Linked DNA regions of Caenorhabditis elegans. The protein of the gene in region 2 interacts with the protein of the main gene of each other region in a pairwise test. Each region holds a gene or a part of one and is shown on either strand. Other genes may lie near its edges.

The links.
Region 1: the proteins of prp-8 (region 2) and tbg-1 interact in a two-hybrid assay, tested with the Caenorhabditis elegans proteins (one large-scale study listed by BioGRID).

What each region holds. Positions count from the first base shown.
Region 1 is NC_003281.10:9,626,380-9,633,163, forward strand, and holds tbg-1 (Tubulin gamma chain), read right to left. Parts: upstream 2,776-6,784; coding exon 2,672-2,775; intron 2,385-2,671; coding exon 2,148-2,384; intron 2,100-2,147; coding exon 1,837-2,099; intron 1,638-1,836; coding exon 1,428-1,637; intron 1,374-1,427; coding exon 1,168-1,373; intron 613-1,167; coding exon 298-612; 3' UTR 153-297; downstream 1-152. Other genes in the region: rpac-19 (putative DNA-directed RNA polymerases I and III subunit RPAC2), read right to left, coding at 2,971-3,157, 3,207-3,310, 3,357-3,500; ubc-7 (putative ubiquitin-conjugating enzyme E2 7), read right to left, coding at 4,096-4,170, 4,218-4,396, 4,444-4,541, 4,587-4,689, 4,745-4,784; gei-13 (Gex-3-interacting protein 13), read right to left, coding at 6,477-6,603. UniProt on the Caenorhabditis elegans protein: Tubulin is the major constituent of microtubules. The gamma chain is found at microtubule organizing centers (MTOC) such as the spindle poles or the centrosome, suggesting that it is involved in the minus-end nucleation of microtubule assembly.
Region 2 is NC_003281.10:8,162,533-8,169,316, reverse strand, and holds the start of prp-8 (Pre-mRNA-splicing factor 8 homolog), read right to left. Parts: upstream 4,945-6,784; 5' UTR 4,941-4,944; coding exon 4,111-4,940; intron 4,057-4,110; coding exon 3,819-4,056; intron 3,778-3,818; exon of another isoform or gene 3,645-3,777; intron 3,619-3,644; coding exon 3,399-3,618; intron 3,327-3,398; coding exon 2,582-3,326; intron 2,534-2,581; coding exon 1,117-2,533; intron 1,104-1,116; exon of another isoform or gene 934-1,103; intron 886-933; coding exon 1-885. Other genes in the region: bath-42 (BTB and MATH domain-containing protein 42), read left to right, coding at 5,991-6,051, 6,106-6,374, 6,425-6,784. UniProt on the Caenorhabditis elegans protein: Functions as a scaffold that mediates the ordered assembly of spliceosomal proteins and snRNAs. Required for the assembly of the U4/U6-U5 tri-snRNP complex.

The DNA.
Region 1 (6,784 bases), 1.5 Mb from region 2:
TCTTTTTTTCATTTTTCACCCGGTGGTTTTGTTGACCGTATGTGCAGCTTGAAACACTTTCATTTTCAGACCTCAATATGTCTCTCTATTGCTATCGCGCAATAATCATAACTAAATAATTTAAATAAACCTCAATAGTACAACCACTGAGACAAGAGTACCAATATTTATGTGAAAATTATGATGATGATGAGGAGCACATGATATAAATAATACAATAAACACAGCATATGATAATCGACAGAGATCCGTTTTAAGAAGTGAATGAGAATCCCGCGAGAATAAATAATAATAAATCTAAAGCCCTCTTGTCAGATAGTCCTTTTGTACGACCGCCTTGTACTCGTCCAGCAAGTCTTGCACAATGTGCATTGCATCGTCCATCATATCCAGCGAGAAATTGTCAATCTTTTCAAACTTGTCGATGAAGGCTCTCTTTGATCGTAGTTTGTCGTATTTGGAGAGAAGCGATTCGAATAACGGAGCCACGCTTGTGCTGTTATTGAGCAAGAGTCCAGATACTTTGTATTGTGGCCGAACATATGGAGAGAGTGGAGCATGCATCATTCGAAGTGGTTTAAGCATGTAGAATGGAGGCCTTCTGATTGCGAACTGAAATTTGATTTTATTGATTTGATGCTTTAAGGTGGATTATAGAAAAATAACGAAAAAAAGTCATTATTAATCACTAATTTTGTCTTTAAAATAGTGATTTTATTGGTGCATTTTTGATTTTCTGACTAATGTGTTATTTGAATTGCCACGCTTTTGTCAAATTTCCAAGTTTCTAAAAATTTTTTACTTCATGTCAAAAATACTTTTTAAAAAAGTTTGCTTCACAATTGCTGATTCGTCAAAATAAGCGCTCATTTTTGCAATGTAATTTGAAGATTTTTTTCGTTTGCAGTATCTCGGTATTTGTGACCGCCTTCGTGTTTTGAGAATAAAATCTACATCTCCAAAATTAGCTTACGAAAATTTTTCGTTTTTCCGATATCTCGAAAAATATTTTTTAAAGTTGCTTATTTTTATTTTTAGAAAATATTTATATGCTTTCTTATAGTTTTCATGAACATAAACAAAATTTGATAAAAATTGAATTTTATGGTTGATTTAGTAAATTTATTTTTCAATTTTCCCGGAAATTCTTTAAAGTATTGAGCTTACATCAACGTTTTGCTCAGCAGTCATAATTGTATGTGCCTCAATTTGTCCTTGAAGGAACATGTAAGCTGATAGCATGCAGTCATTTGGCCGAACCCGAGAAGCAGTTGAAACCATCATTGAAGTTGGTTTTAACAAGAAGCGAGTGACGTCAGCGACTGAAGTTTTTCGGGTAAAGTTCTCATTTGGATCGACAACAGGAGAGATAGCTGCAAAAAACAAAATAAATAGATAAAATAACATATTTCGGAATAAAAACAAACCGGATTGAATAAAGTGCATTGGTGGAAACGGAGCCAAATCCAAATACCGAATTGATGGGCACATTGCAGAGTTGAATCGATATGGAGCAGTGGAAGTGCTCATGATTCGGGCGACAAGAGAATTGATATGATCAAATGTTGGTGTATCTGTTTTGAATTTTCCAGCCGCAAGACGGTGCAGTGCAGCATTATCGAGGACAACAACATGATCTGAAAACTATTTATTTGAAATTCCTTTTTTTTATTATTACTCAGATACAAAAATTGAGACGGTACCCGGTCTTTTTCACTTAATGCGAATATATGTGAGCCTTTTAAGGGTACTGTAATTTCAAACGTTCGTTGTTGCGGAATTTTCATAGATTTTTCGATAAATCATTGTCATTTCGTTTTTAATTTATTAACTTACCAGGATTCTCAATAAGTCTTTGCATAGAAAGTACCCAGTTATATGGATGAACAACAACGTCAGTACTGGTGTCACTATTTGCAAAAACACTGTAAGTTTGAATAACTTTCTTCGGAAATGCTTCGCGAAGCCTTTCGAGCAAGAGAGATCCCGTTCCAGATCCAGTTCCTCCAGAAACACTATGAGTAAATAGAATTCCATCCAAATTGTTCGTATTTTCAGCCTCTCGAATGATGATATCCATTATCTTCTCTTGAACTTCTCTTAAATATTATTTATCATTGATTTTCAATTAAAGAAATACAACTCACTGTCCTTGACAATATCCACTTGCCCAATTATTTCCAGCACCACCTCCGTGATCGGACATGAATATATTGTCCGTATTGAAAAGATTCGAAAAGTTTGGAGACTGCATCATTCCGTTGATTACACGAGGTTCTAGATCGACTAGAACTGCTCTTGGCACATAATGATCGTCATCAGCCTGGTAGAACAATAGATCTTTCTTATCATTCATATCGTCTTCGTGAGTTGTTTGTCCACGTCTGAAAACGAAAAAAATTGTTATATTTATCAAAATTATGAGGCTGAATTATGACCTTGAATAAATTGCGTCTTAAATTATTTAACTTAGCAAAAATGTTTGTTTCATCTCAAACAAAAGTAAAATAATTCATATTTTGTTTTCAATCATGTCGATTCACGAGAACAATTCACAATTGCAGCATTTCAGTATTGAAATATAAAAATTGCAATAGTTTTCACATTTCGGACTGTGGTATATCGAATTTTGCCTAATTGAAATTGTCGGTGCCTCAAATTTATTCCCTACTCATTGATTCCATGTTCGTCGACCATCGATTTCCAGAAGGCTTGAGCAAGCTGATTTCCGCACTGTCCAACGTGGACAGTCATCAAGGCACCCGTACCGGACATCTGGAGATTTGGATTGAGAAAATCTTTGATGCAAACAAAAATATGGCATATTTTGAATAAAACATAAAAACGTGAATCACAAATAATTATCTTTGCCAATACAAATTTTTCATTTCAGATTGAAATGGGTGAAGTCAAACAAAAACATCAAAACAACAAAATGGATAACAAATAATGACAAAATGAATAGCAATTTTACGATTGGCTTTGCTCATAAGACTCTTCAAATTTCCCTCTAATCGTGGAAAAAATTTGTTCAACACTTTCGAATGCCTTCGCGAGAACTTCCAGAGCATTAATACCATCCTTTGTCTGCACTCTGAACAAAATCTTGTCTTCCAGAGGATGTGGAACGTTGTAACCACAAAATTCAACTTCATCCCTGAAATTAAACAACAATTACATCTGATCGATTCGTTCGTAAAACATACATTCTGCTCAAAATGTGCTTGATTGAATTTCCAATAGTGTGATCTTCCTCGTACATGATAAGCGTCAAATTAGATGGATCTTGTTCGAAACTTTTTGGGTCCAGCTGTAAAACAGAACATTTTTTTAGAGGAATAGTGTAGAAAACTTACAATTTCCATTTTCTTTTTTGAAGGTACGTTCAAATCTTCTTCGTCGTCCACTTGTGGGGTTTCCTGTGGTTGTTCGTCGACTTCCATTGTTTCTGCTTCTACCTTTTCAGCTTCTTCTACTATCTTTTCATTTTTCTTTCCCATTTCGAGCTGAAAATCACTTTTAATAACTGAAACAGATCAAATTAAAAAAATAATTTTTAAATATTTTCCAAATGAAGCCCCGCCTCTTTTTGCAACGCTCGCACGCAGTTTTTGCAATTGCGAGGCACGCGGAACGGTTTTCGTTATTTTCCGTCTAATGTATTTCGAACGAATGACATATTTATCAGAGATGAAATTGATTGTATTTAGTGAAAAAAAAATTTTATTTTCTCATAAAAGATAAGAAGTAGCATCACGAGGATTGTGAATTCATACCAAACAAATAAACATGTGGTACCGCTCTCAGAAAAAAAACGAGTTGCATAGTTGTAACTATAGTTTGGATGTTAACAAAAGGAAAAGAGCACCACCACTAGACAAAAAAAAATTACGAAGCAAATTCACAGGTTTTGCGTTCAAAAAAATGTTAAGGGGAATAAAAAGTAACGAGTCCAACGCTTATGAGGAAAGAAATTAGAAACACGTGGTGTCAAAAAATGGGGTGAATGAGTAAGAAAAAGAAGATCAAAGTGGATAGTTTCATATGAACGACGAGTTAAATTAATGCTTCTTCTCTGTTGATGCAATGTTCAAATCATTCTTCTTGACTTCTGCGAACACATTGAGCAACTTTCTTTTTGAACTCGGCGTAGTTTTCACGTTGCATTTTCTGAAAAAATTAAAATATTTCGGTTATTTTTCATTGTTTAGACGAACCGCTGCATCAACGTTTGCAGGAGATTCAAAGTTAGGATCCGTGAGCATTGAGATGACAGAAAGAAGGATCGTCTCGACAGTATGCACAGGCAGCCAACGCTCTTCCGGACGTTCGTAACCCCACTTATCATCTCCGGGATCGTGAAGAATCGAGATGCACACGTTACCTTCCTTGTCAACTGAAATATTTTATGTGTAAAATCGACTTGTTTCAGTAAATACTAACTGTTTGGATGCCAAATTTCCGAAATGAACTTCATCTTTGGTGGTTTTTGTGGGTAATCCCTTGGAAAGTCGAGAATAGCCTTGAAGAAACCTCCCTCGCTGCAAGAAAAAACTAATTACAATTTTCACAAACAAACAACTTACTAGAGAGTATCTGGTGGTCCGATCACCAGGACTTCCCATTTGTAGATGTCATTGTCATCGACGAGACCTGCCGAGAATCCGTCGACTGGAACTCTGCGCATGTCTGGAAACAGAAAAAAGTTAGTTTTGATCATAGATCACGTTTAATCCCAACTCACCTGCCAGCTGTTTCTTCAGAAGTAGGGAGGATTGCTCCATCTATCTAGAAATAAATATAGAATTATCGATTAATTTGAATGAAATTAAGCAAAAACGTGGTGTATTTTTCAGGAACACGCACCAATAAATCGATGGTTACGAAATTTCAAAAAATTAAGAAGAGAGTAATTATACTTCTTTTTACGTGGAAAAAATATCGATTGCACATGATTAAACCATTTAAAAATCTTTTGAAAATAAAAAAATAAATTTGAGAAACTAATTCTCGATAAATAGCGGCGACGAAGGTGCCAGTAGCGACTGAACAAGAAAGTGAAAACGTGATTGTCAAAGGCGCACGCATTTTAGAAGTTGGGTCTTGCCACGCTATCTTGAAATGCGCGCTTTTTCAAATTTTAAAAGTTGCAGCGCGAATTTATAGGGTTTAAATACTTATATTTCAAGCCTAGGAATGCAAAAATATGCCTTTAAAATTGAAATAACCGATATTTAGAAATTAAAAAATATAAATGTTTTCCATATTATCCAGACGCGGTATTTTGAGATTTTTGTTTCAAAAGTACGGTACCCGGTCTCGACACGACATAAATATTTTTGTTAAATGTGAAAAGGGCTTCAATGAGTACTGTGATTTGAAATTTTTTTGTTGTTTTTTTCACGATTTTTGTTCATCATCGAAGAATTATGAAAAATCAATGAAAGTTCCGTAGCAACGAGAGTTGAAAAATACAGTACTTTTTAAAGGCGCACATCTTTTCGCAGATAACAAAAATTTATCATGTGGAGATCAGGTACCGTATTTTTGGTACAAAAATCCCAAACTGTCGCGTCTTCGTAATATCCCTGTAATTTTATTGATAAAATCAATTGATTCAAAAGTTTATTCAATTAAAATTTTATTTTCTTCAAAACGAAAATAAAAATTTGAAATATTGTTGTCACACCACGCAAAACGATTGATCGGATGATACAGGATAATTCGAATTTACGAAAAAAAAACTTTTTACATATTACAATGATGGCTCTACTGAAAAAAACCCCCTGAGCAATAGAAAAATGTTCATTTTTTCGGGCGAACATTCGAGGACACACAAAAAATATATATGTTTGAGAACAGACAAAAAAGAACGAAAAAAAAAACGACGAATGATGAATGAAAGATTTGATTAGATTCGAGGGAATGTGTGCCAGTAGAGGGATGACAGCATCCTTCTAATTATTAATAGATCTCGGTGCATGCAGTGAAAGAATTCTTTGAATGATTTCAATAGTGAGACAAAAAAAGTGGAAAGATTGTTTGGGAGGGAGGGGCTTATGAATCGGCGCGAATCGGGAGTCACATTTTTACAAACACGGGTTTTTGAATTCCAGACAATCTTTTAGATGACAATAAAGAAGTGGAATATTTTCAGAAAGGGGGAAAAGTTCACCGACATAAAAGTTAGAAAAGGGGAAGCAATGGCCACGTACAAATCAGGTGTGGGGGTGTGTGTGTGGGGCTATGAGGTATCAGAATGGAGACAGAATCCTATCAGAATATTGCGGCAATGTGAGAAGAAAGTTTGATGAAAGACGTAAAAGACCCAAAAACATGAATGCGAGAATGCATCTACTAAATGGAAAAAAAGAACAACGAATTCAGCTCTAAAACGCGAATAAATGCACATACATAGGTGTAGGAATGGAGAATATTGAGAAAAAAGAAACAGGAGAATCATTTTCTAGAATTGTTTAGTATTGATCCACAAGGCTAGTTGCCAGAATATCAACGTCAGGGATCTCGTATTCTGGAGCAAGGCAATGTACAAACTCGCGGAAGTGAGTATTTGTGAGAAGAGTTTCGTTGTCTGCCCAGAGTCTGAAAAACAATTGATTTATAGTCTGATAAAAGAATATTCTGAAATAGGAAATGGCACTAATATCTTGACAAATATTGCAAATAAATTGTACGGATTCGAACATGTGACAGTTTTCTCAAAACGTGGCAAAAAACTAGTAATTGCCCCTTTTTTTGGCCGTCAATAAAATATTTCAAAAAC
Region 2 (6,784 bases):
TGGATTTTGCTTCAGAATTTGATAAGCCTTGAATTCGGTTCTAACACGCCATCCTTTATCGTATGCCAATGTGTGACGATCTTTTTGGAACAAAGTATTGATTCTCGGAATTCCACGATCCCATGAATCGTCGAGATCTTCCAAAGTGAGTCTTCTATTTTGAGCGTTGGCTTCTTGTCTCTTGAGCGCATATTCTGCCCACACACGAACAGAATCGACAAACTCTGCTTCCCAAGGTTGAATATATCTGTACAGATTTGGAATCAATTGGTCTTCATCGTGACTCATTCCGGAACGGAAGTGAGTGACACCTCCAGCTTCCGTTTGTTGCATCCATCGAAGATCAGACTGTGGGATCAAGACGTGTCCCATAGATAGCATTCCAAGTCCTCCGATTTCTTTTGGCGTATAGAAAACAACTGGAGGGAATCTTGAGGGCATTTTTGAGTTGAGTCCAATCTTGATTCTCGTTTGAATTTTATTCTCACATTTCACCAATAAATCCAAAAGTTCTTGAGTGTTCACAACAGCTTCTCTGAAGTAGGTCATCAATCCGATCAATGCTGTATTCCATTTGTTGACAATTTTGGTGAACGTTGTAGATCCAGAAGACATCAAAATTTGACGAATTCTGTTATGGAATTTGGACAATGACTCCTCATCGACCTTCAAGAAGCACTGAGCAGTTCTTTCCTTTGTCACTTCGTTTTGAAGATTCCATACACCATCACGATGAACAAACTCTTCATTAGCCGTACGACACTTTGGTAGAATACGACACTCGAATCCGGACATGTCGAACAACATGTTCGGGTTATCCTTACTGTACACTGATACGAATGAATTTTCCCACTCGACAGTTGTGATGGAACGTGGGAGACGGTTCTGTAAAATAACAAATATTTAAAAATCAAAATAGTAAATTCTACATTTTAATGTACGCCTGTCAAGTAGACCTTATCATTCAAGTTAAATGATGGATCTGTTCATGAGGCGGATAATCGCTTAATTTCCATTAGTTTTCGAGGAATTATCAACGAGCAGCCATCGAATAATTGCTCGCTTTCTTATACCTCGTGTTAAAATTTTAAAAAAATAATTAAAAATAAAATTTACCTTGATATCCCAGAAGACAGCACGACCCAAATTGACATCATGTTTCATCAATCTCATTCTAGCGTCTCTTGGCCAACACTTTTTGTTGTTATAACCGACAATATTCTCATTATTCGGATCTGGATGCTCTGTCAAGTATCTTTGAATCAAATCACGTGCTTCATCAGCACTGAAACGGAACATGATCCAAACTCGGTCGATGTACCGGCAGTAGAGACGAATAGGGTGACCAATTTCTGTGGCAACATCCTGGAATTGCAAGAACTCGTTTGGACATTGGGGCGGACCGGCAATTTCGGAAGCTCGTCGAAGTCCAAGAACAAGAAGATCAAGAACTAATCCATAGAATTGAACAATAAACGAAGCAAATTGTAGACCACGAATAATTCCGAAAGAATTGGTGTGGTTCATATCCTTATAGTTGATGAGAACGTTGTTCTTCGAAGTCATGTAATCGGCAATATTGTGATCCACAATCAATCTGAGCAATCTATTGAGAAGTGTCAAATCCATTTTTTCAGCAATTTTCTCCAATTTTGTTTCCATGATGACATTACACTCTCCTTCACTTGTCTCCCAAACATCTTGAAGATTGTTGAGACCTTGACACCATTTGTATGTAAGAAGCGGTGGTGGTTCAGTATCTCCTGGTTTCACCCATGCCGGGAACAATCTTCTCTTGTCTGCTTCATACCAGAGGTATTGATCGAGGTAAGCGTCAGTGACTTTCTCAAGAGGCTCGATATCGTAGACTGGAATAAGATGAGTGTAGAGATCCATAAACTCAATTCCGACTTCTTTGAATGCACGCTGCGTGAGCATGTGTCTCTTGATACGAGACAAAGCTTCGTGAGGATTATCATAAGCCTGTTCAATTAAAGCCAGTTCTTCTCTTTGGGATTGATTCAATCTATTCTTCACACTGTAACTTTCCTTCAGTCTTTCAAGAGCCAAAATAAGAAGTTTTGTGTCGTGTTTGTAAGAAAGTGGTGGGAAAGGAATCGGAGAAAATCTTCTTGATTCCAGCCAATGTACTGTAGTCGTGTAAATTGCAACAGCTTCTTCTGCAGAGATATATGGTCCGTCCTTCAAGTAATTGTGTTGTCTTTCTTGCTCTGATTTCAGGTATAATCTTGTCAATCTACCCAAGTTCTTCTTGCACACAGTTTTGTCTACTGTCGCTCCTCGTCTTACACGTTCTCTGTTGTAATGTGCCGAATTAGTCCACCAATCAGCCTTTGCTTTCACATAACGTAGAATCATATTTTCAACTGGAGTTGGCAGTCCGGGAACCTTCCATGGAATATTAGCCTTCCAACATCTCCACGCCTCTGACAAATGCTGAAGAATAACACGAGCCTTATTTTGTTTGATTCCGTCCGGCATCATATCCAGAATGTCATGCATGACAGCAGCACTGAAAATATTAATAAATAAATTCGTTTTCTTGCCATTTAAAGCTTACCGTAATTCAAGATCGAAATGAGATTCAACTCTTTGCTTGGTGACTGTCTTGGCCACTCCCTTTGAATGTCTTCCTTCGAATTGTCGAGACAACAGATTTCCAAGCCATCTCTCGAGCAGTGGTGTGATTCCACGCAAGAAGAACAACCAAACTCTCCATCCCGGAGCCCAAAAACCACATCCAGGTCCTTTACCAACCGGCCCAGTGTTGAAACGATAGTAGATGAGATGCTTGAGATCCTTGCACATTCTGACTTGTCTCATGAGCTTGTACTTGTAACGATACATTCCGGTCAGTTGACCGACGTGAGCAAAGATATATTGTAGACCATCTGCAAGTTGGTACGCATCGACGTTGTTCAAACGATACTGAACATGGGCATCAACAACAAGTTTTGTGAGACGAAGGATTTCTCTGCACAAATGGAATGCATTTCCGAAACGAGATTTCTTTCTTTCCTTTGTTGTCAATGTTTTAACTGGTTTCAAATTGAAGTTGTAATCAAGATGAAGATAGTTGAGATTCTTTCGGTGAATGAGCAAATTGAGCATGTTGTATCCTTGACGAAGAACTTGCAATCCAGCTTCTACCCAATCCAGGGTGGTTGTTTGGAAGAATTTTGTTGCCTTGAAGGAACGGAACAGATAACGACGCTTCTGGGGCTTCGGTGGACGATGTTTGAGAGCGTTCAGAACAAACACCTTGAGCAGTTTCTGATAAGAAACACGAACTTTCACGGGCATTCCTGAAAAATTGAATATATTATTTCAGCTTAGTATGCGAGAAACGAAACGAAAAAAATAGAAACAAAACTAACCTGCTGGACAATGTTCTCTATACCACGATTTGACAAGTGGTACATCCACTGCTCTTCTCGTTCTTCCCGATCGAAGATTGAATGGCCGAGGGGCCCATAGAAGTGCTAAACCATTAGCCGTGTTATCGGTGTAGAGTGGAACGTCTTCAAAAATGGGTCGAACATCTTCAGGCAGCTCCCACTCGTCTTCCTCTTCACCTTCTGGTAGATTTTCTTCAGTCTGAAAATGTTTTGACATACAATACGAATTGTCTCCAGTTTTATTTCTAGATATCACCGACAAAAAGGATGATTTCTCGCCTTTAATGGAAAATTTATATTGCGAATTTCGGCTACTGACTACCTTGTAAATTTATAGGAATCTGTTTATAATATCCGCATTTTATTTTAAAACATTGCTGAAACTTGTAAATAACTCACTGCTTTCAAGTTGCTGAGAACGATTGGATTGATCAATGGATCATAGTAGAATGCGGGAAGATCTGGGTCTTCAGTTTTGATAAATACAACTGAAGGAGTATGATACCATGAAACTTGAACAGGCAGCGAGCTGATCAGATTGTTGTACATGAATGGGAATGCAATTCTGTACTCGGTACGAATTGGAGCTCGAATAATAACTTTATTGATATCATTGAACTCGTTCCAGTCTTCATCACTGAAAATAATAAAATAGTATGCGTCATAACACAACTGGAAGCTTTTCACTTACGTATGTAAATCTTTTACCAATGGTTCGAACTTCGGGCCTCCTGGAATTGCAACGTTGAGTGCTTTAGCAGTGAAGAAACTTTTCATGTCAAACAAGTAGAAGTAGTTATCATCTACTAAATCGGTAAGCAGCTGATTTGCAAGACGATACAATGTGGACATCTGTGGAATACTGAATGCCCATTTTCTGTACGTTGGGCCGTTCACAAATCGAGTTGTTGCAAGAGGCTTGTGATCGTAGAACCATTCAGCAACAGCTCCGTCTTCTTCTGGATCTAGTTCCATTTGAATTGGCTCTAAAGGCTCGACATCCAGAATATTATCAGCATAATCGAGAGGCGGTTCTTCATCGTCAAATGGAGGGAATCTCATTCGCTTGAAATGACGACGATCACGTTTTTCTCTTCTCATCATAATCCACATCGTTCCCCATTGTGCCATGTAGACCGGCTCGATGACACGCGGAATGTCGTTGACAAAAGTGATCGCACCGGTGATGTGATACAGAACTTTTACATCTCTGATTTGTTCCCAGGGCATCGGCATGTTCTCCAGTAGCTTCAAAACGGCATGTGGCATATATTTCAAAGCACCGAGGTAGACTCTTTTATCATGACGATATTTGCGAGAAGTCATATCACCATGATCTCTGATAACTTTTCGGACGTGCTCAGGTGGCATTTCTTCTTTCTGCGTATCGGACATTCCAAACTTCTTTTTCTCCGAATACCGCTTTCCTTGAAGTTGTTTCCATTTTCGAGACTTTTCTTCCAGAATTGAATCCGGGATAGCATGTGGTTCAGTTTGGGGATGACCGCCGTAGTTGGCCATACCTATAACACACTATATAAAAATAGAATTAAAACTAATCAATGAGTTGACGAGCAAGGAAAAATAAGTATTACTGTAGAGAAACTGGAAAGAGAGATTTGTCTTTGTTTAGACTGTAAGATCACATGAATTGATAGTTGGAATTGTGCATTACAGTTAATAGCGCACAAAATTTACATTAAAAAACGGAATTTATTCAGACTGAACCAGAAAATCATGAATAAAAACCGATAATTTCTATTTTCGAAAGTAAAATTTAAATTTCCTTAAATCTAAACAACGCGCGCAATTGTGTCGAGTGGAGCGTCGTACTTAGATCTGCAGGTGTTTGAGGTTACGGTGCCCGGTAATTCAAACACTCTTCGGCGTAATGTTTCGATCAATAGACCCGCCTCTTCTTGGCAGCCATTATTTGCGTTCGCGTTCGCCGCCGCCGAGGAAAGACATCTGCCCGAAAAAATTTATTGATTTTTCGAAAACTTATTGGCATTTTCTATTGCCCTCAGAATCTGAGTAAAGCTTCTGAATTGCAACTTTTCCTTTTTCAAGTCATGTGACTGGGGTAATATCATTTTTTCGAAACTGTTCCGAATTTTGTACAAATATCAATTTTTCGAAAAGGAAATTATTTCCAAACTGTCATTGTTACCCATTTTATATTGAAATGTACCACATTTATTCCTCATAGACGAGTTCATGAAGATCTCCTTTTGAAAACTTTAAAAACTGTCCAACTTAAAAAAAAGGTAGTATTTTCGAATATCAAACGGCGATTTCGTAATTTTAATACTTTTCTAATATGTGTAATTTTTCGTAGATCGGTTTCGAAAATCGTATTGCTTATTTCGTAACTCTAACAAAGAACTCCTGCTTTTCGTAAATAATTCATTCGCGGAGTTTCCCAGTTGTTGTGTCTTTTTGAATTTAATCATTTTCTTTTATTTTTATCGAGATTATCGGGAATAGCTTTCTTTTAATTGAATTTATTTTCAGAATAACCTCTTGCTCGCTCAACTTATCAACAGAGGTAAAACTTATTCGCAATATAATATGTCTTCACGTTCCTCGTGGTCATCCACGGAGCAGATTAATCGCACAATCAGTTCCAGAGGTTAGTGAGAATAGCTCAATTAATTTGAGAGTTTAACATTATTTTCATTTTCAGCTGACGATCTTCCTCCACAACCTCGCCGTCTAGAAGTAGTTTCGAAGCAAGCAACGCGTGTGACGGCACTTTCTACAAAATTGGAATGGAAAATCGAACAATTTGAGAAATTGATGAAACTAATCAAAAACGGTTCGAATCTTATTTCAAGAATGTTTAGTGTCCCTGATGCGCCAACAGTTTGCTGGGAACTTCATGTGTATCCAAATGGAAAGCGTGATGAAGATGTGAATAATGTATCGTTTTTCTTGAGACAAGTTGGATTAGCCGTAAGTTTCATTCATATTTTCTATATATAAAATATAAAAACCTTTTTCAGAGAGGAGAGGAGCCCATCATGACAGAATTTCAAATTTATGCTCTCGATGCTAATAATCAAAGAGTCAGTGTATGCAGAGATACCAAAGATTTCACAAACCAACAAGGGCGTGGAAAGTTCCAAGTTTCGCGTGATAAGATGCTTGGGGCACTTCGATCTGACGGAACTCTCTTTTTGATTTGTGAAGTTGAATACTTCCCTCCTGGATCAAAAATATCAGTTGAGCCAGTTGTGGACGAAGATGTTAGCACAGAGGAGCAAGAAGAAATGCCTGAAGTAATTGTACGCGCAAATAATCGAAGTATGTGGGAAGATGAGCTATTCACCGATTGTGTGATTCATGTTGGCAATAAACATATA